7 linked regions of the Macaca mulatta genome follow. The protein of the gene in region 2 interacts with the protein of the main gene of each other region in a pairwise test. Links are inferred from orthologs where the notes say so. Each region holds a gene or a part of one and is shown on either strand. Other genes may lie near its edges.

Region 1 (3,944 bases), on a different chromosome or scaffold from region 2:
TGCCATTTAAATTCACATAGTATCATACAAAGCTTAAGAGTAAAATAAATGGTTTAATGACAAAGTCTTCATAAGAAAAAAGGACAGAGTTTACTTAGGCTAAAAATGTTTATACATGCCAGAAAAATGAGAAGACAACAGAATTTTTAAAATATTTTAATTTGTATATATAACTTCAAATTTAGAACACTCAGTATGAACAAGAACTATTCTCTGACAAAGATCTGAAATGGGGAAGTGAATTACTGTACAGGTGCATATCAACCTCTCCATGCAATTTACATCTGTATCTTATGCAATGAGAAACTGGTTTACACAGCTCCGTAATTGCAGTATTTTTTTAACACCCCATTTTGCAGTCTCAGAATACTTTTCAATTAAACTGATCGACATGTTTAAAGATGAGAAATATGATGTTTGCATTGTAAAGTTGAGTAATAGCTAATAAATGCACATTTCCTTCCATCAATATAAATCTGGAACTATTTATGGTAAAGAAAAATCTATCTGCGCTATCAGTAATCTAATAGTTCATACTTTTACTGAACACTTCCTGTGAGCCAGGCCCCGTAGTAAACATCTGCACATGCAATTTCACATTCAGTGTGGAATAGGAAGTGTCAGAGGTTCGTGTGTTTTTCACAACTGATTATGATGTCCATGATGACAGCGTGCACTAAGCGCTGTGTCCAACCAACCCTTTACCTGGCACTTTAGCCAGCAAGACCCACTTGCATTGTAGCAGCTCACGGTGCTCGCTTGCACAATTTTAGAATGTTACATGAATACTCAGGCCTGACTAACCTTCCCCTCCAAAAAAACAACAAAACGGAACAGGGCTAAGCCTTTACTACTCAGAGACACATCTGTAAGACCCCCACAGGGACAAGAAAACTAGCTGTGATCTAGGTCTGCACTAAAGCTGTCTTTTCTGGCACTCAGAAGTGCCCTTCCAGGCCTAACTGCAGAAGGGTGGCCTCAGCCTCCTCCTCCTCCTCCTTGGCTTCCTCCTCACGGATCTGCACCAGCAACTGAAAGAGGTTTGGGGCCGGCCCTTCCCCAGCCCCGGTAAGCCACAGCTGCCTTCGGATGGCCCCGCTGTGGTTGGCCCCAGCAATGACCTGCTCTAGGCGGGCCTGGTTCACGTTATCTTTATCAATGGCCCCCTTCTCTACCACCTTCTGTAGCAGAGGCTCCAGACGAATGACATAAGCAGACAATTTTTCTCCCGGGTTCTGATAAGTGTTCAGAAATTTGATCTGGGCATCCCTAGAGCTCTCAACGCTCCCAAACACCTGCTCAAGCGCCTTCAGGCATTCGGCAGTGGTTATCGCGGGGTTGTTGGACTTGAGGATGCGAATGACATCAGCGGCAGGGCCTCTAAGGCTCTCCATCAACCGCCGCCTCTTTTCTACATCGGACACCTGCCACTCCTCTAGGACCTCATTAGTGTGCTCCAGCCAGGGATCAAAGGTTTCCTCTCCAGGCCCTGGGATGTCCCTCCCCGAGAAAAGTGTCAGCCTCTTGTACCATATGGACTCAACAAGAGGCTGAATAACATTATCCAAAATATAGTTTAGCATCTCTGCTGGCATCTCTGGGCCCGGGGTCGGAGTAGGGTTCTGAAACCCAAGGACACGGGCAACATCTTGCACGGTCCACCCCTCTCTAGCTAGGAAGAGGTGCAATCTTTCTAAAAATTCAGCATCAGAAGTTGGGGGCTTAAACAACACTTTCCAGACCCCTCCTTTGCCCGGCATCTCCCTGGGGATCGCGGCGTAATCGACAGCGCCAGTGAGCTCTAATAAGGCTGCTTTCGCATTTTCTTCCCTCCAGAACATTCTCCCAAGCATTCGGTAGGGGACCTGGGGCATCGCTGCCTGGAGGGTCTCTTCGATTTCAGCCTCATCACAGTTCACTGGGATGCCCCAGACCAACAGAGCTCTCTGGGAGTTCACATCCATCCCCCGGCACCAGTCTTCCAACAGTGTCATCGCCATTTTCTCAACTATCAAGACGCCAATTCTACCAACAGACTGTGGCTCACCGTACTCCTGGCCTTAGAACAATACCAGACACTCCCACCAAGTAGGCCCAAGGGAGGTAGGCTTCATGCATTCACGACTAACAAAGACACAGAGTCCTGATCTCGCCCTTCTCTGCCCCCCCAGTCAGTCCGTAGGTACACTTGGAGCTGAGCTCGGGGACGCTGAGGAAGTCACGCGGCCGTCGCCATCTTGCGTCTGGGTCCGGGTCCGGTCGGGTCTGCCGCTTGCAGCCGGGCTGTCGCGTCGTCGTGCAGCGGGCAAGGAGCGAGGGCGGGCGGCGAAGGCAGGCGCGCTGGGTCGAAAGCAGCCGGGGTGTGGTCGCGGGGCGTGCCCGCCGGGCGCTCGCTGCGGCTCCTGGAGAGGATCGGGCGTTCGCGGTCGCAGCCTGGTCTTCCCGCGGGCGAGGAGCGGCCGTTTGGGAGACTAGCCAGAGGGAGAGACTGTGCCGAAGTCGCGGCGGCTGCGGGCCAGCGGAGAGCGGCTTCTTGGAGGGCGTGGGGACTCCTCTTGGCGGGCGCGGGGACTCCTCTGGGCGGGCGGCGAGGACGGCCGAGGACCAGAAACGAAGGCAGCAGAGGAGCAGGAAAGCCGGAGAAGCGAGGCTGGAAACAGCACAGGCAAGGGTGGGCAGCGGCGGCCGCGGCGGCCTGCAGCGGCTCAGGCGCTGCGCGGCTGCCCCAGCGTCGAGTCCTACCCGCAACCCGCTGCGACGTTACTGCTGCAGTGGAGGATGGGGCCAGCCCGCGAGCGGCGTCAGCCCCGCCCCGTCCCGCCCCTGTGGCGGAGCCGCTCGGGCGTCGCCATGGCAACGGCGCCCCAGCTGGCGCGAATCACGCCTGCTCCGGCGGCCCGCGGGGGTCGAGCGGTTGCCATGGTGCCAGCGAGGGGCTCGGGCATTTGTTTCTCTGATGGCGCATTTCCTTTTTCATAATTTTCCATTTTAACAGCAAACAAATACTGCTAAGCACCGTGTTTTAAAAATAATAACCCAATCCTGGAGTGGATTTAAGATGATACTATTGGAAGTCATGGCATCCCTCATGGTGGACTTGTCTACTCGGGTTGCCCAGCCAGTCCACCCTGCACGTGAAAATACTCTCCTCAGAACCCTGGCTTCCCGTTACCCCTGACCACACTGTGCACCCTGCGTATTTTATCCCAATGAAGCCGGAGTGCGCCATTTTTTGTGTGAGATACTGAGTTTAGACTTTTTCTTGTCTAAACTTTTGTAAACATCTGTTTGTCTGTGTCTACTGAGTCATCTTTTAGCCAGGCAAACATTAGTGTTATTTTCCTTTTCCTGGCTGGCATCGACAATAGGCTGCTAAAAGAGAATCCTTATGGCTCAAAAATGTCGAGTAATCTCCCTGCAAGCAAGACAAGGCCCACTTACATCAACCCCAGATGGTGAAAATCCCGAGAGAACATAGCATTCAACTCTGAATTTTTAAAACCTTATTTAATAAAAGGTTTAAAGATACAGAAGAACATTCAAAAGTAAATAAGTTACATAGGTACATTACAATCACATCAGCAAGATTCTTTAGTGTATTAATTTTTTCTTATAAAAAGCACACAAAAAATAAAATCTTCAGTCTCTATCACAACTGTACAGCAAAAGAGGTAATATTTATATGTATGTACACTATTTTAATATGTAACAGTCTTTTTCAAAAAGGGTGCCACAGGCAGCAAACACACAAAAGGCAGTGTCTGATCATTTTTGTTTCAAAATAAAAGGAATATACTTATTTATATGCTATTAAAATATTTGTACAATAATTACAGACTGTCAAGGCTGTTCCTGTGCTCTGTCCCCTCCAACAAGGCCTTCAACTTAGAGACAAATGAGGAAAAAGTGAAACAGCTGCAAATTGTTAGAGGCAAATATTAACA
Region 2 (4,097 bases):
CGGCCAAATCTGCCTCCTTCTGAGCAGCCAGGAAGATGGCTCGTTCCTTCTGGAAAGCTGCAAGTTCTTCTGAACTGAGGCTGCAAGTGAAGACAGACAGATGGTTGGCGCATGATGAGTCACCAGTGGGAGCTCACAGGACCCCATGTCTTGCAGGGGCTCAAAGGGGCCTCTGTCTCAGAGCCCAGCTTGCCTGGCCCTTTCTCCCTCCCTGACTTCCCAGCCTCTATACCTTTGCTTTCCAGGGACACCATCTCCCAACCCCCAAAACCCCTATCTTTTGTTCCCTTATTAAATCCCTACTCATCCTTTGAGGTGTCAGCCAGACCCCAGTCCAGATTAACTGGGGTACTCTGTGCCCCAAAATATGCTGTACAATGAAGTCACGGGGCTGAGCATGTATGTCTGTCCCAGGGCTGGGGTCAGATTTACCCATCTCCATGTTCCCAATAAAAGAAAAGATTTAAGAAAAGTCAAGTCTGTGTCTGCTCCATGCTTAATCCCACTCTTCTCGGGAAATAATCAATTGTCAGCCTTGACATGGGATGTGACACAGCAGCAAGAAGCCAGTAAAAGGTTGAGTGCTATCTCTGTTCCAGCCATTGTCTAGGCCAGACACTCTCCCACCCAACATCTTACTTCAATGAAACAATTCCTGAAGTCATCTGAAGCCCCATAACGGGGGTCTCCTGTTTGCCTCAGGAGCAAGCATGAACCTGACACAGCTCAAAAATCTTTCCCCACTGGTCCTTCCCTCAAACCATTCTCCACTCGCCTAGGTCTAGGACGACAGACCCGGGTGACACTGAACTTCTCCCACTTGGATCCTTCATGGAGAGCTTTCCATTTCTTAGAACATTTGCAGAACAACATCTAATACATAACAGGTGCCCAATAAGAGTATTCCAAATCAATGAATGTGGTCTCCCACACCCACCCTATCCTCTAGAATCTAGGGTCCCTTGACTTAAAAACTGACTTTCCCACTGCAATGGGCCCTCTCAGCTCTGCCCGAGTCCAGAGCTTTCTGGGCCCTCTCGTCACACTGCACCTGCCAGGACACTTACTCCTTCACCACACGAATGCCCAGAGAACGGGCAGATCCGATGATGGAGCGGACAACAGAGGACAGGGGTACGTCCTGCAGGGCGAATGCCTCATCCTGAGCTTTGATGCAGGCAATCTCATACACATGCTTCAAGGTCACCAGGCCTGCCACCTCTTTCCCTAGAAGGAAGGAACAAGTGGTTCTTCAGGTGTTACTGAGATTCTGGAGTCCCCAGAATCTCAGACGCCTACCCTGACCCTCACCTGTTTGCCGGGCCCCCTTTTCAATTCCAGCTGCTGCCTTCAAGAAGTAGGAAACAGTGGGCTGTCCAATCTTGATTTCAAATGTCCTGTCAGGCTTAACAGAAAAAAGAAATATGAGATTCTCTCTTCCTGCTGCCCCATCCCAGGGAACTTCTAATGTCCTGTCCCTGCTTCCTTCATCTCACTTTCCTATGGCATCCCTCAAAAAGACCACAGAATCACAAGAAAAAAATAAATCTGGGCCAGGCGCAGTGGCTCATGCCTGTAATCCCAGCACTTTGGGAGGAAAAGGTGGGTGGATCACCTGAGGACAGGAGTTCAAGACCAGCCTGACCAACATGGTGAAACCCCATCTCTACTAAAAATACAAAAAATTAGCAGACATGGTGGCAGGCGCCTGTAATCCCAGCTACTCAGGAAGCTGAGGCAGGAGAATTGCTTGAACCCGGGAGAAGGAGGTTGCAGTGAGCCGAGATAGTGCCATTGCACTCCAGCCTGGGCGACAAGGGCAAAACTCCATTTCAAAAAAAAAAAAAAAAAGAAAGAAAAAATAAATCTGCAACAAACAACCCTGTCCTCTCTATTCCTGCCCTAATTCTGCTCTGGAAGGCCCAGTGAAATGGAGGGGCAAAGGAGGAACTGCAACATGGCAAGATGGGGCTGGTTCAGAAAAAATATGGTCTAGTCCTAAATGGGGAAAGTGGAGCCCAGTAATAGGAAGTCAAGTCAGGAGCTGAGAAAACCCCAGATGACCAGCCCCAGGGATGAGGAAGAACAGAGGGAGAAAGAAACCAGGGATCGGTCCAGACTCCACCTTCACAAAAATCTTGGTAGGCAGAGGAATGCCTTCTTTGATGTCCTTTGTCCTCTCATTGAACTCCTTGCAAAATTGGTTGATGGAAACACCTCTCTGTGAGGGAAGCAGAGGGGGTTAGTGGTGGGAGGAGGGGACGGCTTCCTACCGCCCAGGAGGCGCCGTCCATTCCCTCCTTCGTCTTCACTTCTCTGTGTTCCTATCTCTACCCAGATTCAACTACCCCTTCGTGAGCCAGAAGATCTGTACGCATCTTCCCACGTTATCCTCATCACAGCACATTGGGAAGGGATGAGGAAGCCCAGGCGGAAGAGCCTTTGTAACCAGCACAAGGACGTAAAGCGTGTGAGAAGCAGAGCCGAGCTCTGAACCCAGGCCCCGGTAGTTCCAGAGCCAGCGCCGTCCATCCGCGTCCTAGCTTCCACCACCCTCGACAACCCCCACGTCGGGTTCCCAACACGGCCGCACCTGACCCAGCACTGGGCCTAGTGGGGGCCCGGGCATGGCCAGGCCTGCCCGCACGATGGTCCGGATCACACCGCCGACCTCGGGCTTCCTGAGGCCCCGGGTGGTCCGGCCGAGCTTCGACATGATGCGGGGCTGCTGGCTTCAGTTCACCTCAGGGCAGCAGCAAGAGCGAAGCTCTGGGCGCCACCATCTTGGCCCAGAGGTCAAGGGTCCTCACGTTAGGCTAGCGCAGGTGAGGCCAACAAACAGCAGCCTTGTTTCAGCCCTATTGCTCGCCAACTAGTAAAACAAGGAGGATAAGAGGAGGATAAAACACTTTTTAACTTGTCTTATGCAGATAAAGGAAGGTCCCGAATGGCCTCAGTACACAATTTCCCACAGGAGCGCGCACAGGCACTACCTCGGACAGCTAACCAGTAGGGTTGGACTTTGATACCCCATAGCATTGTGGGTATGGTAGTTTTAACTCCGTGTACAGGTCCGGCCTATTGCTACGCTCCAGGGCGCCATCTGCTGCACACGGTGATAATCCTAGGGTTTGAAATACACCTGGAGCTCCTGATTGGTAATGGGAGTCTCTCTCTCCTCTCTCTGTTCCTCACATGCTGTTGAAAGGCAGTACAGTTAAGAGTGTAGACCCTGAGCTGGGCGCGGTAGCTCACGCCTGTAATCCCAGCACTTTGGGAGGCCAAGGCGGGAGGATCGCTTGAGCCCAGGAGTTGGAGGTGGCAGTGAGCCAGGATCGCGCCACTGCTTGTGAACTTAATCAAGTTTCTTATGCTTTGTCTCCTCCCCAGTACAGCAGGTATTGTAATATGTAGCACCTACCTTTTAGGATTGCTGTGAGGACTAAGTTAGCAAAATGCTTAAAACAATGCCTGGCACCTAGTCAGCATGTGCTATTATTATCTGTACAATTAAGATAAAACCTGAGCTATTGTGAGGCTTAACAGACCCAGAACATTCGATGCATCATCTGTGACCAGTCAAATAAGCCAGCATCTTATTGTATCATGAGGAGAGCAAAAATCACCTGGCGACCTTTGAACAGGTCCTGGAGACTAAAACTCCTTACCTGAGGACTTTAAAAGTAATTAAACTACCCTAGTATCTAATGTTAGCATCTGGTTCCAGGACTCTTTTAAACTTAAAATGTATAAGCAACTAGAATTTCTATACACTCGGGAATGCCATGCCAAAACTCACTTTGCAACCCTTGCTGACATTAAGGCACCAGAATTACTATGAATGTAATCATTTATCATGACCTACGTGGCTAGTGTGGTCCAAATTGCCCTCAAGCTTCCTCTTTAAGGTCCATAAATACCCCCTAAGGAAAATCCACCAGCATGGTCAGTTCTTTCTTGCTGAGGCATCCCTCTGCACTCCTCTGCAGCGTTCTTTCTTTCTAATAAAACTTTCCAGCCGGGCACGATGGCTCACACATGTAATCCCAGCACTTTGGGAGGCCAAGGCGGGCAGACCACCTGAGGTCGGGAGTTCA
Region 3 (4,226 bases), on a different chromosome or scaffold from region 2:
CTATGCAGACGGTGGGATAAGTGGTACTCCTAGAAAATCTCAGCTGGGGCTGGGCGTGGCCTGTAATCACAACTGTAATCCCAGCACTTTGGGAGGCCGAGACGGGCGGATCACGAGGTCAGGAGATCGAGACCATCCTGGCGAACACGGTGAAACCCCGTCTCTACTAAAAAATACAAAAAACTAGCCGGGCGAGGCGGCGGGCGCCTGTAGTCCCAGCTACTCGGGAGGCTGAGGCAGGAGAATGGCGTAAACCCGGGGGGCGGAGCTTGCAGTGAGCTGAGATCCGGCCACTGCACTCTAGCCCAGGCGACAGAGCCAGACTCCGTCTCAAAAAAAAAAAAAAAAAAAAAAAAATTAGCTGGGCGTGGTGTTGCGCGCCTGTAGTCCCAGCTACTCAGAAGGCTGAGGCGAATCGCTTGAACCGGGGAGGCAGAGGTTGCAGTGAGTCGAGATCGTGCCACTGCACTCCAGCCTGGTGACAGAGCAAGACTCCATCTCAAAAAGAGAAGAAGAAAATCTCAGCTGGAAATGGCCTCTATACGTATAAACTAGGGTGGCATTTGCTGGTAAAATTCCGTACCTATGGCCTCCTGGCTCTGTAAGCATAAACTATGGTAGCATTTGCTGCTAAAATTCAGTCAGTACCTAGGGCCTCCTGGCACAAGGACCACAAATTTACAGCTGTTTGTGAGATTCTGTTAAAATCTTTCCCATCTACTCTCCCTAAACCTGCTCTTTTAGATAAGGGATAAGATGCAGGTTAGCTCTTCTTTTGATTCAATCCGTATGTGTTTAACACCTAGCAGAAACAGTTATTTCTCTCTTTTTTTTTTTTTTTTGACATGGAGTCTGGCTCTGTTACCCAAGCTGGAGTGCAGGGCAAGATCTCAGCTCACTGCAACCTCCATATCCCAGGTTCAAGCGATTCCCCTACCTCAGCCTCCCAGGTAGCTAGGATTACAGGCGTACGCCTGTATTTTGTATTTTTAGTAGAGACGGGATTTTGCCATGTTGGCCAGGCTGGTCTTGAATCCTGACGTCAGGTGATCTGCCCACCTAGGCCTCCCTAAGTGCTGAGAATTACAGGCATGAGCCACTGTGCCTGGCCAAAAACACAGTTATTTCTGACGTGTGAATACCCTCCTTAAACTTGTTTCCAGTGCCAGTGAAACATTTTCCATAATTTTAGATTCCTTCTGCCATGCCATCAGAAATGTGGGTGGGGAGCTGCACATGTAATCCTGTTACCATCACCTGACCTTTTCCTACATTTCGAAAGAACATGTTTACAGAAATTCCAATTAAATTAAGAGACAATATTAGGATATCCTGAACTGAATCCTGTAAGTGTTCTACCCCCTTCGCCAAGGGGTAACATCATTACTCTGGAGACCTATGTTCTACACTCTCTTATTTCTATAGGGTCCATCTCACATGATATCAAACACTTAAAAAATGCATGGACACTCCCCTAGTAAACATAGATGGCTCCACACCAAAATAAAAAAATTGAAAGGATATTTAACATTTTGCTTTTGTAATTACCTAATTATAAAAGATAATTAGCTAATTACCTATGACTAATTTGTATAGTTTACCCCTGGATCTGATTTCTTAGCTATCATCTGCATATAGTTGTCAGGAATTCTTACAAAGAAAACTTAACATAAATGTAATTAAAATTTGTAAACAAATTCAGCTGAATGTTATGTCACATTTTACAAGCGTTTGATTATCATAAGTAATTGCAACTTTGCACTTTTTTTCCTATTTTCAAGAGAATATTTTTGATCCTAGCACTCTTAACTGTGCTACCTATTGGATAAGACAGCTCTGAAAGCTGTGGGGCAGTTTCTTTCGAAAGAGCTTCCTCTATGCACAGGTAATGCCGTAATAAATAAAGATCAGTGTGAGTCATTTTATTATGATCCATGTTGTAACTATCCATATTATCATTATTGTGTGCTGAAAAGATAACGATTTATCTTGGCAGTACCTGAAGCTTTCTTCAAAACTCAGGGTCCTTAAAGCTTAGTTCCTAGAGATTTGGGGCAAAAATTCTCCGGGATTTCCCAGCCAAAAAACCCTTAATTGCTACGATGCTGGCCTCCCATCCACGACAAGGGAAAGGCCTTTGTTTATATTTCAAATTTACCCCTAAGACGTTATTACAACACCTGGCTGCTCGTGACCCTGGTGGCGGCAAAACCCGCGCCACCATAGGCATCGCCCGCGGGCTCCAAACTCGTCAACCGAGGCCTGGAGCGAAGCCTGCAACGAGGACCTGTTCCGAGAGCGCAAGAAACAACCGCCGCGGAGACGCGCGCCGAGAACGCGCGATCGGGCGACGGTTCCCAGCAGGACGCGGCGGGAAACGCCTCGCGCGGCCGGCCCCAGACCCCACCCGCCCCTCGCGCGGACACGCGCCTGGCTCCGCCCCCGGCCCCGCCGGTCGCGCGCCCCCACCCTGGCTAAGACCGGCCCCGCGAGGCGCGCAGGGTCCTCACTTGTGGAAAGAAACGGGCTTGTCCTTGTCGTAGCGGTTCTTGCAGCCGTAGGCGGAGCAGGACTGCACCATCCTTCCGGTCTTCAGGCACTTCACTTCTGCCGCCGCAGAAGGCAGGGGAAGCTGCTTTCAGTGTCGCCGCGCTCGGTTGGACACCCTCGCTCTTTTGTAGCTTTGGCCAACAGTTACAGTAATGGTGGCCTCCCTCTGGGGTGACTAGTGTGCCCGTTTTGTTGTTTGCATTAGCAGAAGGACCACAGCCATCGCCCGTCTCCCATCTCCAAGATGGCGGAGGCAGCTTCAACCTCACCTCTCGCGAGGGGTGCGTCCCACTGTCTCTGATTAGCCCCGAGGTCAGAGGTAACGATTCCTGGGAAGCTAACTATTGGCTGAGGCCAGGTGTTTCCGGCGGTGGCTTCAGAGTTGCGGAAGTGGGCGGAGCCCTGAACTTCCGGTAGGCAGGAAGGAACAGCTTGCGGGGGAGGAGGCGCGGCGGGAGGCTGGATTCCAGGGGCATCATCCAGCCCGGGCTGTTCCCGTGGGTTAATTGATGCGGAGCTTTTCTGGGGCGGCTTACAGTAGGAAACAACTAGGGCCTCATGGAGAACAGGTGTAAAGCCGAGGTCGTTGTCTGATTGCGCCCATTTCTCTAAAAGGGCGGACACAGATGGTGTATGATTAATAAAATTGTGGAACCTTTTCCCAGAATGCTGATCTTTTTCCCATTACCTGTGTCTTCAGGCATCACAAGTCTCTGAGAGCCAACGTGACAGGTTTTTAGCAATGAAAAAAGACACACTCGCCAAATCATCTGAATTGCCAACGCAGAAGCATTATATATATGTATATATGTATGCATATATACGTGTGTGTGTATATATATATATGTAATTTTTTAAAAAAATAGAGGCAGGATCTCCCCACGTTGCCCAGGCCAGTCTAGAACTCGAGCTGAAGGGATCCACCTATCTCGACCTCCCAGTGGGTTGGGATTACGGGAGTTGAGCCACCAGGCCCTCCCTCCCCAGAAGCTTTTGTGAAGGGCTGTCCATTGCTGTGATTTCCATGTGCGGTGTTGCAAATAGGGAGCTGCTGCAGCAGTTTTCACATCTGAGAGAGAATATGTCAGAGGGGTTCGAAATAGAGCGACTCTGTGTTGAGTGAGGGCTAGGAAAATGAGGCTGGGACTTGCTGGGCTGCATTCCCGGAAAGTTAGGTGTTCCTAGCCTCTAGATGTATACCATTAAGGCAACAGATTGATAATGTTTACTAAACAGACCCAGACTTCGAAGTGTCCAGATATCTCGATATTTTGAGAACAGAAGCATTCCTAATTTTGCTTTAAAGATAATAATGGACTGGGCACAGTGCCTCACGCCTGTAATCCGAGCACTTTGGAAGGCTGAGGCGGGCGGATCACTTGAGGTCAGGAGTTTAAGACTAGCCTGGCTAACATGGTGAAACCCGTCTCTACTAAAAATACAAAAATTAACCGGGTGTGGTTGGCACATGCCTCGAATCTCAGCTACTCTGGAGGCTGAGGCAGGAGAATCGCTTGAATCTGGGAAGGCGGAGGTTGCAGTGAGCCGTGCTTGCACCACTGCACTCCAGCCTGGGCGACAAGAGTAAGACTCTGTCTCATAAATAAATAAAGATATCGATTCTTACATAATATAGTAATTAATCCTTTATCACAAACCCTTGTAGCACAGCACAT
Region 4 (3,504 bases), on a different chromosome or scaffold from region 2:
CACATTCAGAAATTTACTGAAGTCTTCAGATTCCCCTCAAATTTCACACTATTTTTCTTAATATTTCTAAAAAATATTCAGACTACTATGACCATTCTTTTATGCCACTAAAACTCTACTCTCAGCTGCCAAACTTCATACTTGCTTCTAAAGTTGCCTAATGACAAATAATTGAACTTTGTTAAATCTTTTCTTCTGGGATACATTTAATTTTGGTGTTATTTTCTTGACCTTGTTCACGAGTATTGTCAATAATTGATACGAAGAATACTCATTCCTTTTGTTACTGCAAGCAATATTTGTTTAATAATCTATGCAATTCAGACTTTGCTACTGAAAATTGCATTTCTTCGCCATCATAAAATTCATTTTCTTAAACACCTTGAGTCAAAAATTCATTCATTCTGAATTTCATCTTTTTTTTGCAAAGTTATTTTAAATCCATAAACAATATATTAAAGGACAGCTTATTTTTCATTTTAGCTCTTGAAGTTTTTGAGAAGTTTTACTTACACAGATCCATGGGTGCTTCAGTGCCTCTGAGGCTGTGATACGTTTGGCAGGGTTGATAGTAAGCATTTTATTGATGAGGTCTTTGGCTTCAGGAGTTACCGTGTCCCATTCCGGTGATGGAAACTTCAAAAATATAAATTTATAAAAAGTTTAAAAAATAGACACACTCAATCAAACAGGGAAGAGTCAACTATATGAATCATTTCCTCAAGTAGTGAATTTCTTCATAAATTTACTTTTTATATAAGTTAAATTGTATCTAAAATAAATAAAATCATTTAGATCTATTCTCCCCCTCTATGTAGACAACTATATATATTAAAGAGTATCTGATAAGGGACCAACATATATACTGAGCTGCATATCACATATGGTAAATACATTTTAAAATTCAGAAAAAAAGAACTTAAGAATCTTCTATTCTCAAAGTATCTCTGCTTTGATCTGAACATGAAATTTTATACATCTTTCTCATAATTATTTGCAAAACTTAATAAAAGCAAAGAGGTTGCTACATGTACCAATGCCATCGTAATATTATGCCAAGGTTCAAAATGAGGTATTATATACTTTCACAACTTATAAGCAGTAATAGCAGAGGTAATAAAACAGCTTCAATTCCTGTGCCAAAACTGACCTATTAATCATGGCTACTTGGAGTGCTGTAGTGAGAAGAATCTGAGGCTATAGGAGCTTCAGCAAGATTTCATTTTAACCCTTCAAGAAGTTTAATCTGCCCAATTACAAATTTCACCAAAGTATATGAAAGTAATCAAATCTTATAACTTCCCATTATTAATATTTTTTTACAATAAGACTATATAAGAAAGCTACTTCTCCTCTCTTCATGTTATTTTTTTGTACTGATAATAAATTACTTTTATATCATTAGCATGTTTAGTAGAAATACTGTCCTTCAATGATTAAGGGAAATTTATACTACATTAGTTGCAAAATGATAGAATATCAAGTTATTTTCCCAATTCATGAATTTGTGTAGACAATCTTGAAAAATAAAGCCATTGTCACTGTGTCAATGGAATTAGTCTATTTTTGGTAGTTTTAAAATGGGGAACTTGTGACTCATTGGCAAAATAAAGCACGAGAAAAATGATATTGACTCTAATACCTGTAATTTCTTGCCAGCTTAACAATTGTCATTTTTTAATTCCTGAAGCTTATGTTTGGCAGTTGTGAAAGCTTGCTAACTGTTAGGAGCTACTAAAGAAACATGCAAGGCTATTTCTTAAATGTTGTACAGGTCTTTTGATAGCAAATGAGGGGTAGGTTCGGCATGAAGAAAGGTGAACCTTTTCCTCAGTTTTCTAATTTTCATGAAAGCACTCCTCCGGTATACCAAGCAGTGCATTTTCAGGGCTACGTCTGCCCAGAAAGGGGCTGGTTCTAGTCTGTAAAGATGGTGAATGTGCTAGCTGTTGCCATGTAAATAATAATTTGTTTCAATTACTAGTCTAGGGATAATGGAATGCTTCGAAATTCAAAGAATATACATTTTAAATTCTTGCTAACTGAAACACACATCCATCTAAATAGAAAATTTTATCAGAAATGCACTGAAGAGTTCATGAGACATGATAGAATACAATACAGACATTTTATATTTTCTCCTCTCACTTTCACATAAAGCTTTCAACTTGTGCACAAAAGGTGAACCCAATATTGCTACTCCATAGTTACTCCACTTAATGACACATGGAAAGCATGCCCAGATCCTGCACATGGATTTCCCTAGGGCTGTATGAGAGGAAACCAGAGAAAGTGGTAAATCATATTTACAAGAATACATATCAAAGGAGAGCAAATTATATCATAAACACAAAGTTAAGCCATAAAGAGAAAGTAGATAAAGACTTCCTCTTCAGATTCTGAACTTAATTTATGAATATGTATATATATATACTTTCAAATATTCTAATTAAAAATTAAATATATTAGAATTATGATTTTCAAATTTTTCAATTGTGAAACTCATTCTTCAAATGAAAGCTTGCATAGCATCCCATTAGGTAAACAATACAAAAACAAAAAACAAAACCCAGAAACTGGTATAGTGGAATAATGTTCTATTTGATATGTGATCACTGCAAAATATTGTTGGTATATAATGTAAAATTATGTGATAGGTATTTGAGAATATAATTCAACTGAATGGGCAATAATCATTTTTGTAGCAGAAATATTTTAATTTTTATGTTTTTAAAATGCACTAAGATCCAAACATTTTGACAAAGTTCTTCCTCAGAGACTTCACATGACTTTTCTTTTTATCTTAGGAGAGAGTGAGTTAAAAGGAAACATAAGCTGAACACATATGCTGCATTTCTTTTTCCCTTTCCTTAAGAGAGAGGGAAATAATAAGAGAAAGTGGTAAAAATTATAGTTAAAAGAAAAATGAAAAGATCTGGCTCTTGATCAGCAAGCAAAAAACAAACCTTCATCTAAAGTGATATAAATAGTTATTACATACATCATAAGCTCCAGCCTTGATCTGCTGATAGAGTCTGTGTTGGTCTTCATCCCAGAAGGGTGGATACCCCACAAGTAGAATATAGAGAATGACACCTGGAGAGATTACAGTATTAACATTATTTAAGTCATATAGAAAACAATAAATTAAATGTGGCTGATCCACAATGATATTAAGCTGTAGTTGTTAAAACAGAGAAAACTGGATTGTAGGAAAACTTCAGAGAGACGTGTTATGGTCTATTCTAGAGCAGTCTCTGGAAGGTTAATGCTTCTCCTCCTATGCTCCAGAACTCTGACAATGTGTCAGTCAATGCATGCTTCAAAGAATTCTAAAGAGGCATGGAAGGGAAACTCTAAAGATAAAACATATCTGTCATTTAGGGCGACATTCTTTGGCCTCCCTGAACTCTTGTTTATATAGAGTCTTCCTGCATTCTTACCTATATAGAGACTATGATTTTAGTCACTGTGAGGTTGAAGTTCAAAAACTAAGCATGTTAT
Region 5 (4,001 bases), on a different chromosome or scaffold from region 2:
TTTAATTTAGATAAATATTAAATATAATTTGCCAGTCCTAACAATTAGAATTCAAAAATAATTTTGTTATGTGTGATAATATAATTATGGCAATTCTGTGTTTTTCTAAAGTCCTTATCAGTTAAAGATGCTAAACTAACTGTAAATGAAACGTCTTGATGTCTAAGATTTGCTTTAAAAACTCCAGGGGAAAAAAATAAATGTTAGAGGGGTAATAAAACAAGATTAGTAAAGTGTCAGTTCATTTTACTGTTCATTCTCCTTTGTGTATGTTTGAAAATTTCCGTAATAGGAAAACCAAAGCAAATAAAGAAATGAAACAGATTAGTAACACTCCACATAAGACCTACTGCAGCAGAAACACTGCATTTTAGAATATGAACAGTTTGTATCTTTAGAAGTGTTATAATTCAGGTAATGGTTGACAGAGTTACCGAAAGTTTTTCACATCCTCAGCTAAAAAACCTTTAGAATTATCTCCAAACTTCAGTCCGACAGGACACGCAAACATATGAAAGCAAAAAATGTCCAACATTCAAACAGTTTCCAATTATTCACACTGTGGCTCAAAGAAAGAAAAACTTAACAACTATCAACAGACCTCTGCTTCCAAAAAAATGTAATCAGCAATTTTTCTAGGAGGCAAAAGCAAAGGCCCCAGTCTATTAACTTGCACCATTGCAGGCATCCCTAGTTCCAGAATCCTTTACACCTGAGTGCCAAGACATTCCGCTCAGGTGTCACCCGCACCACTTTTACTTACTTCTTAGATTTTATAAGTTGGTTTCTAAAATGCTATGATCTTGGCCCACATATATTAGGGGAGAGGACATTTTTATCTTCTTCTGAAGGTTTATTTGGGACAAAATAAGCTTTAAAAAGACAGAAATGCATAAAGCCCAGATTTTACATATCCATTCCAAAAGAATACAATAAAGTCCCCAAAAGAAGTATACAAGGAGCATCGTTAGGATCTTCCATAATTATTTCAACATCATTAAAAAGGTTGAAACTCTGAATTCCAAAATTTTACTTTTGTTATGGAAAAGATATTTACTGGTTAATTCTACAAACATCGCTGCAGTGAGAACTACAAACAGCGGTCTACAATTTAAGAACTTGATGCGCCAGTCGCAGTGGCTCACGCCTGTAATCCCAGCACTTTGGGAGGCCGAGGCGGGCAGATCAGGAGGTCAGGAGTTCGACCCTAGCCTAACCAACATGGAGAAACCCCGTCTCTACTAAAAATACAAAAATTAGCCGGGCGTGGTGGCGCGCGCCTGTAATCGCAGCTACCCAGGAGGCTGAGGCAGGAGAATCGCTTGAACCTGGGAGGCGGAGGTTGCAGTGAGCCGAGATCGTGCCACTGCACTCCAGCCTGGGAGACAGAGCAAGACTCCGTCTCAAGGAAAAAAAAAAAAAAAGAACGTGATGGCTATAAAACAAAAAATACAGTAAGATGTTCTTTGAAGTTGAACAGCTTGAAAAATAAATAAAACTTTATTAGAAGTCGGCATCATCAAACAATACTTCAAGTTTACCCTTGAAAAGAACAGAACGAAGGAGAAAGGCTGTCCTCAGCTCCTTCTCTAAACCCGAAAAGCACTGAGGACAATCAACCCACTTTTAGTTTCTATTCAAATGATCTCTTTAAATCCTTTTGGAATTAAGCACCAAACTTGTAACTAGTAATTGTTCGTGCACAGCACGTAGAAATTTTAACATCAGCAGAATGCAGACAGTTGAACAATTAAGATTTTCCCATCTAAAGCCTGACATAATAGCAATTCATAACCACTGTGTGAAATCGGAAATCTAACACTGTACGTCTAAAGTCATATGCCAGTGTTGTCCAACAAAACTTTTACCAATAAGGTGTGTACACACACCCACACAAACGCATGCTAAGCTCTATTTTTTACTAATAAGGTGTACACGCGCACACTAAACTCTAGCCACAGATTCTCTAAGCGAGGAATGCAGGTCGGTCGGGACTAGTTCACACCTCGCGAACCTGCGGGGTGTGTTGGGGCGGGGTGGGGAAAGGATTCCAGGTGAAGCAGGAGATCAGCCGGAACAGCCAACTCCGCCCGCGGCCCTCAAAAGTAGGCGGCGCAGGGAGTCTCCGCCCCCTTCGCCACCGGCGACTCAAACCAAAACAGCTGGGTTTCTCTCCGCAGAGGCAAACCCCAGCGTCCTTCTCGGACGCGACCTACGTGTTTTCTCAGCTTACTGCGCCGGTAACACCCACAGGGACCTCAAAACAGTCATCCCAGAGTTGAGCCTTGGACACCAGAAGCTTTTCCTTCGGGGGTCGCCAGCGTCACTCGTCCCCAGCCAAAGGGCACCCGTCCCACACGCCTCCCCCAAATCGCGAAGACCTGTCCCGCGGGCCTCCCTCCGCGTGGGGCGGCCACCCGTTGCTATTCCAAAACTCTACGGCTGATCCGAGTCGCCCACACCCCCGTCACAATCGCAGTCCGGAAGGGAAGGTTTGTTCTCGGGAAGGAAAGCCTCGTCACCACTGAGACCTCTCCCGAGACCGGCCAGGCCCCTACAGTACAGGGGCAGAGGGGTGTAGCACGAGCCCTAAAAGAGATGCAGCTGGGGTCCGACCCGCACAAGGTGCTGGGGTGGACCGGGGAGGCGCCTTACCCAGTGGAAAGACTCCCGGACCAAGGGAGAAAGTTACACAGGCTTCCGATCCTGATCCGCCATCAGCCGCTGAACCTCTTCCGCCACCACCGCCTACCCCCAAAGACCGGCTACACCTACCCTCACAGCCGACAGTAGGCCTTGCGTCACTTCCGCCCACGGGGCGGTCTCTTCCGCCTCCTGGAGGGTTCGCCCCGCCGCTCCGCGACGACACGCCCCCAGCCTACTGCGCCGCGGGACGCGAAGCTGGACCCAGGCGTGCCTCCTCTCGCAGGCCGAATGGTTCTCTCCTTCGTTCGTCTTTGCCATTTTCGCTCAGCAAGTTAATCGCAGAAAAACAATGCGTCTGGATTTACATTCTGATTGTATGTTATTATTTTGACATACGAAATGGGGAAACACACCAGAGATTTAAGTAACTCAACCGCGATGTGGAAAGGGCAGCTCAGAGGTCCATGAACAGTACCGTGTCCCTGCCTGCGTCTCAGTCGGCCTAAACTAACCCACCGATTTTATAGATAAGGAAATAGCCAGAGAAGCAAGGGAGTTACCACACGGCTAGGGCTGCAAACACCTAAACTCCAGGATTGTCTCTCAACTCCTGGCCCAGTCCTGTGCTTTTTTGACTACGAAGTTTTGTTCACTGAAAGCTCCTAGGAGCCTTTCAGTTCTAATGCCGTCTGATTCTATTTGTTCTCGCTCCAGCAGAGAGGCCTCTTTTCTACCCGCATTTTTGTGAGTTACCGGCTTTTGTTAGCCATATCATTTTCCGTGTGTGAATTTTGTCCCGCGTTCTGTTATTTCTAAAATCACTTTTGCCTTTTGTATGTATTGCCTTCCTATATTAGACATTCAGTTTGAATCCTAACTTCACAGAAGCCAGTGTGTCCCATTCGAATTCATCATATTCGTCTGTTGCCATAAAACCCTGATAAAACTTGCAATAGCACCTGAAAGGTACGTAAATTAGATCGCGTTAAATGTTGAAGCACATTCTAAATACAGAACATTCAAAATTATCTTTCATATACTTTCATCTTTACTTCCAGTTATTTCAGAAGACATTAGCTTTGATAATACAGGTTCTCAGTATTTACAGACTGATTTCTTTCCTATGTATTGACATTTTTTAACTTGATCTTGTGCTGGGTAGTATACTTGATCATAGAATTTCAGAAGAACCTTAACAGGTCATTTAGTCCCAGTCTCCTTATTTTATGGATGAAGAAAACGGTGTGAATAATCAACTTAAGTTATCACTCGCGTTACTGGTAGCAGCCTTCTGGTAGTAGAAATAACTGTGTCCCTTAAGAAATGTAAACATAGCAGTGAACTTTATAAGCACA
Region 6 (4,094 bases), on a different chromosome or scaffold from region 2:
AGTGAGCCAAGATTGTGTCACTGCACTCCAGCCTGGCGACAGTGAGACTCTGTCTCAAAAAAAAAAAAAATTCTCACTCTCTCTCTGAGTCAGTATAACACCCTTCTTTCCCCTTGGGCTTTCCATATCCCTGGACAGATGGCAAACAAGAATGGACTGTCTTAAACTTCCAGTTTCTGTGTTTACACAGTCCTAGGAAAAAGAGGACTCTAGAACTTTAGGTTTGAACCTAGGCCTATCGTTAAATTAGGAGACAGTTAAAGTGGGAGGCGAGGCTGGGTATAGTGACTCACGCCTATAATCCCAGCACTTTGGGAGGCCGAGGCGGGAGGATCACTTGAGGTCAGGAGTTCGAGACCAGCCTGGTCAACACGGTGAAACCCGTCTCTATTAAAAATACAAAAATTAGCCAGGCATGGTGGCATGCGCATGTAGTCCCAGCTACTGGGAAAGCTGAGGCAGGAGAATCGCTTGAACCTGGGAGGCAGAGGTTGCAGTGAGCCATGATCACACCACTGTACTCCAGCCTGGGGGACAGAGTGAGACTCTGTCTCAAAAAATAAAAAATAAAAATAAATAAAGTGGGAAATGAGATATGATCCTGCAGAGTTCCCTAAATCTTTATTTAGAGGCAGTCTGAAGTACTCCTGAAATGTGTTTGGGGATACAGTTTTAAGGGCCTTAAAGATGTATAGTGATATTCAGCTTATATGCTTCTTAACTTTTTAGTTCATGAACCTCTGAGAATCAGACAAAAGTTACAGACCCTCAGAAAGTTATGACCAACCTTCCCGAAATAAACATTCACACTTACACAGTAAACTCAGGGCCTTTAGTGACTGCCAAGAAGCCAGGTTAAGGATTACTGCCTTATATCCTTCCAACTTAACAAAGGCAATAGTGGTAATCACTTAAAGATGAACAGTTTGATGTGAACGAATGTAAAGAGTTGATGGAATACTCAGGAATTCAAGTGCGTTTAGAAGGGACAAGGTAATTGTGATATTAGTTGGAAAGAGTGGAAGGGAAGGATGCTCACCTGGGCCAGGAGCCTGGCTTAACTGACCCACTGGATTACATGACCAATACCATGGTGCACTGGAAACTAAAGGCCAGTAGGCTACTACTAGTGCGCCAAAATCATCTGCTTCATTCAGTTGTCCTGTGTGCTGGGGCCAGTTTTGTGTGATTACAAACCTGCTTATGTCCACACTTTTTCAGTGTCTGTATAATAATGTAATTAAACCTCATGTAAACCTATGAAAAATCACTGCATTGAAAACTGTTCCTTCAGGAATACTGATTTTTAAAAAATTGGTCCTATGAAAACTAAGTCAAATGTTTTGGAGAGACATAACGCAAAGAAGAGTATGCATTTTAAAAATTGTTGAGTTGGGAGTGAGCAAGACAACTGTAAAAGATTGAGGGGTGGGACTTAATCTCAAAAGTACTCTGCACTCAAAAGCGTCTGAATTCTTAACTTCACTTTAAATAAAGCAAAACGGGAAATCAAAGATGATGAAAGTGCCTGAGTGGCTCTCATCTCAGACTGCACTGTAGAATTACCTGGGAAGCTTAAAAACCAGGCCACTCTCCTCCCCATTCAGATTCAATAGTCTGTACTGGGGTCCAGGCATCCACAGTTTTTTAAAAAGTTCTCAGGGTACAGCCAGGTTTGAGACTCCCTGTGTAGTTAACACTGGAAAGAGAATTGGGAACTCCGAACAGCAGTCTTAGACACAAGAACAGTCTCACCACTACATCAAAAGATTGGTGAAATGGACATACTTTTAATTATAATGTTCAAGATATGTATGCATTATCTTTAAAATTCCCAATCTGGTTTTTTCAATTACAACCATCTAACCTAATCATGTAATATAAAAGGGCTTCAAGTGTATGATGGGAAAGAGGCTCACATGACAAAAAAAAAAAAAATCTCCTGATCTGGGCCCACATTACCAAACAGGTCTCAGCTTGAGTCTTCTTTCACTTTAGGAGTCTCAGAATAGGACGCAACACTAGGAACCCCAGAGGACTCGGGTTCTCAGTTTCCTGGTTGGTTTTCTGAGTATGGCTGGGTACGGGAATCAGAGGGGCAGTTTCTTCTAAACCTTTCATTCCCAAAGGCCGCTGATCCCCCAGAAGCAAGGCCAGGTTCTGCACGTGTGTTGAGGTCGCCAGGAGGTAGCCATGGGGGTTGGGGGTTTGTGTGGCGTCGGGGGGGGCCTGGGAAGGAAATGTTTCTCCTATCCTCCATTTCACAGGCAGTCCAGAAGGCTCCGAACTGGGTCAGGGAACAAAAAGTTGTTGCACTTGGGACGATGAGCCCCATGAGGCAGGCGAATCTCAATCCTACTCTCGCCAAGGGCGCCCCAACCCAACCTTCTTGCCCTCCCCTACACAGACACTTACCCTCCCCTAGTTACAACAGGGAACCGAAAAGTCCAGAGGAGAAAAAAGAGAGAACCGAGCCACTTCGAACCTAGAATTCTCCCCCCACCAGCGCGGGGATGGGACTCCAGAGGTGGGAGACCGTACACGAGCTGGGAGGGGAAGTCCAAGGGGCTGGGGATCACTCACCGCGGTCCAGCCCGGGCGGCGGCTCCCAGCCTCGCACCATGGGCCGGGGGGAAGTGGGGGAGAGGGCAGGGGGCCTCCGAGTGGGAGTGGGGTTGCTGCCCGGTGCGGCCGCTCCGAGCCCACCCGAGCGATGGCCGAAACCGGGACTGCCCCCCCACACCGCCCCCGGGAGTGCGCCGGTCTACCCAGCCCTGCTCGAGCAAGTTGGAGGCGGGGCGGATGGGTGGGGTGGGCGTCCAGAGGCGGTGCCAAGGTGGCCCGAGTCCTGATTGGTGGGCGCAGGCGGGCGGGCACGGGCGAAGTGCACTGGGCTGGCCATTGGCTGCTTGGGTCTCGGCTGAAGTCGGCTATTGGCTGCGTGGGCCTCAGCTGGGGTCATCTATTGGATGCGTGGGGCAGGGAAGATGTCCCCTGGGGCCAAGCTGCGGTGCCTGGTACCTCCCCCTACCCTCGACCTATGGGCGCTGGACCTTTGGAGTACCCCGGGCCAGGATCCTTCCGAAATTCCCCAAGGAGGGACACTGCACTTTGCCGAACTGTCTGGACCGCCAACAACTCCCAATTTGTTTCCTTCTGAAGGAAGCCCTCCAGGAAGACCTTTTCAGTGCCCCCTCCCGAGCCATACACACGAGCTGCGCCTTTCCCAGCCGAGAGCCCAACCGCCACCAGCAGCGTCAGCAGTAACAAAGCGCCTAAAGCAACCGGGAACTTGTTCTCGAGATGGATCAGATGTCTTGCCACCCGGAAAGACGAGGACCTTAGGAGCCTGCGGGCGACTTAGGCCGTTCCCTGGGTCAAACTGGCACCAGACCGATGTTCCCAAAGATGAAGTGCTGGAGCAGTCACCTCACTGGGACCTACCAGACCCTCCGGCTCCCCTCCTTGCCCTAGAAAAGAGGACCCGGAGTTCTGCATAGTATTTGTTTTTCACTAGCTAGAAAGGGATGAAGACTGAGGTGGGAGAATAACTTGATTCCAAGAGTTCGAGGCCAGTCTGGGCAACATAGTGAGACCTTGCCTCAAAAAAAATTTTTTTTAACTTACAAAAAGAAAGGGATGACAATAAAACGGACTTCACCAAAGCAGTATCCCACACAGTATGAAGTTATAGGCCAAAATTTGTATTTTAGGATTCCCCATCTTCTGTGAGACAAAGTAACAAATGTAAGAAGCCAGACTTGCTCAATTCTGCTTGGCAACATAATTTCACAAAGCCTCTGACTCTGAAGTCTCTGGGAAGACCCTTTGAAGACAAAAGAGGATAGGGCACACAGTCAACCATGTCTCTTGCCTGAGTCACTATATTCCCTAAAAGATAAACGGGCTGGGAGCGGTGGCTCACAAACCTAATCCCAATGCTTTGGGAGGTCAAAGAGGGAGGATTGCTTGAGGCCAGGATCCAAGACCAGCGAGGCAACATAGCGAGTCCCTGTCTCTGCAGAAAAATTTAAAAATTAGCTGGACTTGGTGGCGTGCACTTGTAGTCCCAGCTACTCAGGAGGCTGAAGCAG
Region 7 (4,101 bases), on a different chromosome or scaffold from region 2:
TCTTTCTTTCTTTCTTTCTTTCTTTTTTTTTTTGAGACAGAGTCTCACTGTTTCACCCAGGCTGGAATGCTGTGGTGCAATCTCAGCTCACTGTAACCTCTGCCTCCTGGATTCAAGCAATTCTCATGCCTCAGCCTCCTGAGTAGTTGGGATTATAGTGCATGCACCACCATACCTGGCTAACATTTTTTTTTTTTTTTTTTTGTATTTTAAGTAGAGACGGGGTTTGGCCATGTTGGCCAGGCTGGTCTCAAACTCCTGACTTCAAGTGATCCACCCACCTCGGCCTCTAAAAGTGCTGGGATTACAGGTGTGAGCCACTGCACCCAGCCACCCACGACACTTTATAATGAGAAAGACTGACAATTTCCTCTTGAAAAACCAAATAGATTAGAAAACTAATAGAAATGATAACACAGTATAAAACAGATAGTAAAAAGATACAATGTGAGGAATATACAAGAAAGATATTTAAAACAGACTGTTAAAAATCATAAGTAAATCATATTAGTTAAAACAGTATATTAAAAGTAGGGGAAAATCAATCACTTCAGCTAAAAGGTTATCTCTCCAAGAAGACTGAGTGACTGTGTCCCAGGGCCCAATCCCCAACCCTCACACTTGCAGCAGGCATAAAAGGGGAAGGACCTTCAGACAAAGGCACCTTTCCACCTTCAAGCTGCATTCCACAGAGGTTCCTAGATTTCTTGAGGTCATTTTCAAGGCAGAGAGATGTCCTAACTAGAGCTTTAGCTTGGCCCTGATTTTTTTGTTTGCTTATTGTTTACCCTTGGGGACAACAGCAAGTACAAAATCTGATTCCAGTTTTTCCCAGCTCAAAACCTTCACACACGCTTTCACTTGTTCCCGAATCAACACCTCACAGGCCTTGCTTTGGCAAAGGGCTCCTGATCCCAGCTTCCTGGCATCTGCCTCCTTTCCTCCCCCCATTACCACCACCTGTCTCAGTGCACTCCCAGGATGGGAGCGGACATGGACTGTATTTCTCAGTCTACACTGCACATTTCCTAGGCAGAGAGTAGGGCCGTCTTGGTCCTTGATGCAAGAACAGATCTAGCTCCACCCTGACATGTAAACTGGATTTCCTGGTATCTCCTTAAACAGGCCTTCAGTAGCCAGGTGGTCATGTCGAGCCCGAGTGTCGGTGTATCTTAAGTTTGTCTGGGCCTCTGTTTCCTTAACTCTAAAGTGAAGAGTTAGAACACAGATTGTATTTAAACACCCTGGTTGGGAGCTGCAGTGCCCTGAATTCCTCCTCTTACTCCACCCCCTCAATACCGACACACAGCCGACACTCAATAAAAGTTTGTTGAATTGACAAAAATAAATTTGTGGCTTCTTGCCCAGTACTTGGCACTTAGAGGCCCTCAATAAATGACTATCGAGTTTATGTTTCATCTCCCCAGCACATTTGTGACATTCTTGAGGGCGGGAACCATGTACTCAATAGGGCCCTGATGATAGAAAAGGAAATCAGCTTGGTCCCTGTTCTCAAGAAGTTCACAGTTTAGTGTGGGAGACTAAGACAACAAGTCGCCGATTCAACAGATATTTTTCCAACGTCCTTATGTATTGGGTGGAAAAGGTGAGGCAAGAGCTGTATTTCCCAGACTCCTGAATGGGTTGCGAGATGATTGACTCCTGAGGGACACCGTCTCACCTTTTCATTGGTTGTCGCTGGCCCTGTCGTCTATCACCCAACCAACCCCGAACACCTCTTGTAAGCCCCACCTCCGGGTCAGCCAATTAGAGGTGCCGGGGGCCAGGGCGCTGCTGGGTCACTGACGCGGTTTCGATTCCAGTGAAAAATGCTCGGGTTCGGACTGTCCCGTGACAGGCGGTGCGAGCAGGCCAGGCCCTCGCCCGCCGAGCCCTAGGACCGCTGCTGCCGACTGCCATGGAAGACGAGCAGCCCGACAGCTTAGAGGGCTGGGTGCCTGTCCGGGAGGGCCTCTTCGCCGAGCCCGAGAGGCACCGGCTGCGCTTCCTGGTGGCTTGGAACGAAGCGGAGGGCAAGTTCGCTGTGACTTGTCACGACCGCACCGCGCAGCAGCGACGGCGGCGCGAGGGGGCCCGGCTGGGGCCCGAGCCCGAGCCCAAGCCCGAGGCAGCCGTGTCCCCGCCCAGCTGGGCAGGCCTGCTCTCGGCCGCAGGGCTCCGCGGCGCGCACCGGCAGCTGGCGGCGCTGTGGCCGCCTCTGGAGCGCTGCTTCCCGCGGCTGCCGCCGGAGTTGGATGTGGGCGGCGGCGGCGGGGCCTGGGGTCTGGGGCTCGGGCTGTGGGCTTTGCTGTGGCCGGCGCGCGCGGACCCCGGCGAGGCGGCGCTGCAGGAGCTGTGCGGGCAGCTGGAGCGCTACCTGGGCGCGGCGGCCGACGGCTGCGGCGGCGCCACAGTGCGCGACGCGCTCTTCCCGGCTGAGGGCGGCGCGGCCGACTGCGAGAGCCCGTGCGAGTTCCGGGAGCGGGCCTTGCGCGCGCGGTGGGTCGAGGTGGACGCGCGGCTGCGCCAGGTAAGAGAGGCCGGGCCGCCGGCGTTCGTCCCCGCTTCCATGGCCTGGGACCCTGTGGGAGGCTCCCCCGGCGCCGAGAGCCCTGGCTGACGGCTGACGGGGAGGAGCCGGCGGGCGGAGAAGGCCGTGGGCTCCCCGGTGCCCTCACCTGCGCGGGACCGCTGCGGGAAACCGGCGGTAGCTCCGGGAGGGCCTGCAGAGAGGACAAGCGAAGTTAGAGCCTAGTGTACTTGCAGCTGGGAGCTGGGCTAGGCCCCCAACCTTTGCCCTGAAGATGCTGGCAGAGCAGGATGTTGCAACGGGAAATGCCAGAAATATGCAAGCAAAACTGAAAACAACCCATCCATGTAGGAAAGAATAACACGGACTAAATGTAAGCAATTCTAAGTCTGTGTATGAGGGAACGTCGCGAATGGGATAGAAGAAATGGCTTTTAGGAGATAGAGTGTTTTGTTTTAAGTAATATATACTTAGTCAAATGGAAAGCCAGCAGAAAGTGAACTTTATTCATCAGTTTGGAATAACCGCATTAGTGCCCTTTTAAGCTTGAAAGAGGTAGTTTGAGAGAGAGTAATTATTTGAGTGGTAAACCTACTGAACCTAAGGGGATGGGGAAGTACAAGTTCATAGAAGGGTTTAGGAGAAAATATGGCTTCTAAATCCACACTCACAGTTTACTAAGGAGAGTCAGGCTGGAGTCTCGGCTCACTGCTGTTATTAACCTGAATGGTTTTTTTCTGTGCATTCTTTTGAGGAAGGGGAGGTGAAGAGAAGAATTCAGCCTAAGCTAAATATAGAATAAGCTTTCTAAATTAAAATGATTTTATAAAAGGAGCTCGTTAGTGGGGTCATTTTTGTACTGTGGGTTTTATGTGTAAATATCTACACACCCACTTCTCATGTGTTGATTTCACTTTATGAGGAAGCCACAGGGGAGTTTCAGGCCAGTCAGCGTTTGATCTTCAACTTTATCATTTTCACCTTAGGATATGAGGTGAAAAATGGTATCATTTTGAATCAGACTTGTTTTTTACCCACTCGGTTTCTCACAGAGATAGGTGGTTTCTCCTTAAAATCGAACATTTATATGATGTATTTTACTGTAGTTACTATCAGAAAAGTTATAGTTTTCCCAAATTTAAGTTCACTCTGGGGTACTATAGCATGAATGTAGTTCATACTGTTGAGCTAGCTGTTCACATTAGTGTAGTTCACGTATTTATTTGGAACTTAAAAATGAGGGGTTGGGAGGGGAAGAAGCTTCAATTCAAAACATGTCCAAATATATAATTTTAATATTTATATTTAGAATAGAAAAGCAATTGATTCTAGAATTAGATCAATTGCTAGTATTGCTAGGATATATAAAATGAAGCTGAATGTTTTAACTCTGAAAGTTTTCTGAGTAGTCTAAGAAATAAGGCTGAAATGCATCACTTGCCTTAAGTTTACTTTTGCGTGTGTCTTAATTTTGTGCAGCGAGGCTTTCACTTAAAAAAAAATAATAATAATATTATTACCTGGATAAAAAACTACAGCTGAAAGTAGATCACTTTCTCCTTAAGCAGAAG

The links.
Region 1: the proteins of MRPL11 (region 2) and PNMA1 interact in binary tests that used the Homo sapiens proteins (3 or more experiments, as listed by UniProt). The two-hybrid records come from large-scale screens. The link is inferred for Macaca mulatta from reciprocal best matches to the Homo sapiens genes MRPL11 and PNMA1.
Region 3: the proteins of MRPL11 (region 2) and THAP1 interact in binary tests that used the Homo sapiens proteins (3 or more experiments, as listed by UniProt). The two-hybrid records come from large-scale screens. The link is inferred for Macaca mulatta from reciprocal best matches to the Homo sapiens genes MRPL11 and THAP1.
Region 4: the proteins of MRPL11 (region 2) and CAMK2D interact in binary tests that used the Homo sapiens proteins (3 or more experiments, as listed by UniProt). The two-hybrid records come from large-scale screens. The link is inferred for Macaca mulatta from reciprocal best matches to the Homo sapiens genes MRPL11 and CAMK2D.
Region 5: the proteins of MRPL11 (region 2) and TAX1BP1 interact in binary tests that used the Homo sapiens proteins (3 or more experiments, as listed by UniProt). The two-hybrid records come from large-scale screens. The link is inferred for Macaca mulatta from reciprocal best matches to the Homo sapiens genes MRPL11 and TAX1BP1.
Region 6: the proteins of MRPL11 (region 2) and HOMEZ interact in binary tests that used the Homo sapiens proteins (3 or more experiments, as listed by UniProt). The two-hybrid records come from large-scale screens. The link is inferred for Macaca mulatta from reciprocal best matches to the Homo sapiens genes MRPL11 and HOMEZ.
Region 7: the proteins of MRPL11 (region 2) and FSD2 interact in binary tests that used the Homo sapiens proteins (3 or more experiments, as listed by UniProt). The two-hybrid records come from large-scale screens. The link is inferred for Macaca mulatta from reciprocal best matches to the Homo sapiens genes MRPL11 and FSD2.

Annotation. Positions count from the first base shown.
Region 1 is NC_133412.1:146,883,640-146,887,583, forward strand, and holds PNMA1 (paraneoplastic antigen Ma1), read right to left. Parts: upstream 2,804-3,944; 5' UTR 2,001-2,803; coding exon 939-2,000; 3' UTR 133-938; downstream 1-132.
Region 2 is NC_133419.1:7,982,748-7,986,844, reverse strand, and holds the start of MRPL11 (large ribosomal subunit protein uL11m), read right to left. Parts: upstream 2,802-4,097; 5' UTR 2,717-2,801; coding exon 2,594-2,716; intron 2,222-2,593; coding exon 2,126-2,221; intron 1,406-2,125; coding exon 1,312-1,405; intron 1,228-1,311; coding exon 1,068-1,227; intron 874-1,067; coding exon of another isoform or gene 756-873; exon of another isoform or gene 741-755; intron 81-740; coding exon 1-80.
Region 3 is NC_133413.1:44,941,712-44,945,937, forward strand, and holds the start of THAP1 (THAP domain-containing protein 1), read right to left. Parts: upstream 2,802-4,226; 5' UTR 2,582-2,801; coding exon 2,511-2,581; intron 2,385-2,510; exon of another isoform or gene 2,231-2,384; coding exon of another isoform or gene 2,181-2,230; intron 1-2,180. UniProt on the Homo sapiens protein: DNA-binding transcription regulator that regulates endothelial cell proliferation and G1/S cell-cycle progression.
Region 4 is NC_133410.1:122,779,526-122,783,029, forward strand, and holds part of CAMK2D (calcium/calmodulin-dependent protein kinase type II subunit delta), read right to left. Parts: intron 3,097-3,504; coding exon 3,002-3,096; intron 637-3,001; coding exon 514-636; intron 1-513. UniProt on the Homo sapiens protein: Calcium/calmodulin-dependent protein kinase involved in the regulation of Ca(2+) homeostatis and excitation-contraction coupling (ECC) in heart by targeting ion channels, transporters and accessory proteins involved in Ca(2+) influx into the myocyte, Ca(2+) release from the sarcoplasmic reticulum (SR), SR Ca(2+) uptake and Na(+) and K(+) channel transport.
Region 5 is NC_133408.1:100,601,378-100,605,378, forward strand, and holds the start of TAX1BP1 (tax1-binding protein 1), read right to left. Parts: upstream 2,801-4,001; 5' UTR 2,656-2,800; intron 1-2,655.
Region 6 is NC_133412.1:96,383,176-96,387,269, forward strand, and holds the start of HOMEZ (homeobox and leucine zipper protein Homez), read right to left. Parts: upstream 2,805-4,094; 5' UTR 2,624-2,804; coding exon 2,584-2,623; exon of another isoform or gene 2,416-2,583; intron 2,288-2,415; exon of another isoform or gene 478-2,287; intron 1-477. UniProt on the Homo sapiens protein: May function as a transcriptional regulator.
Region 7 is NC_133412.1:73,933,468-73,937,568, reverse strand, and holds the start of FSD2 (fibronectin type III and SPRY domain-containing protein 2), read right to left. Parts: upstream 2,801-4,101; 5' UTR 2,531-2,800; coding exon of another isoform or gene 1,919-2,530; 5' UTR 1,682-1,918; intron 1,350-1,681; exon of another isoform or gene 41-1,349; intron 1-40. Other genes in the region: WHAMM (WASP homolog-associated protein with actin, membranes and microtubules), read left to right, coding at 1,919-2,530.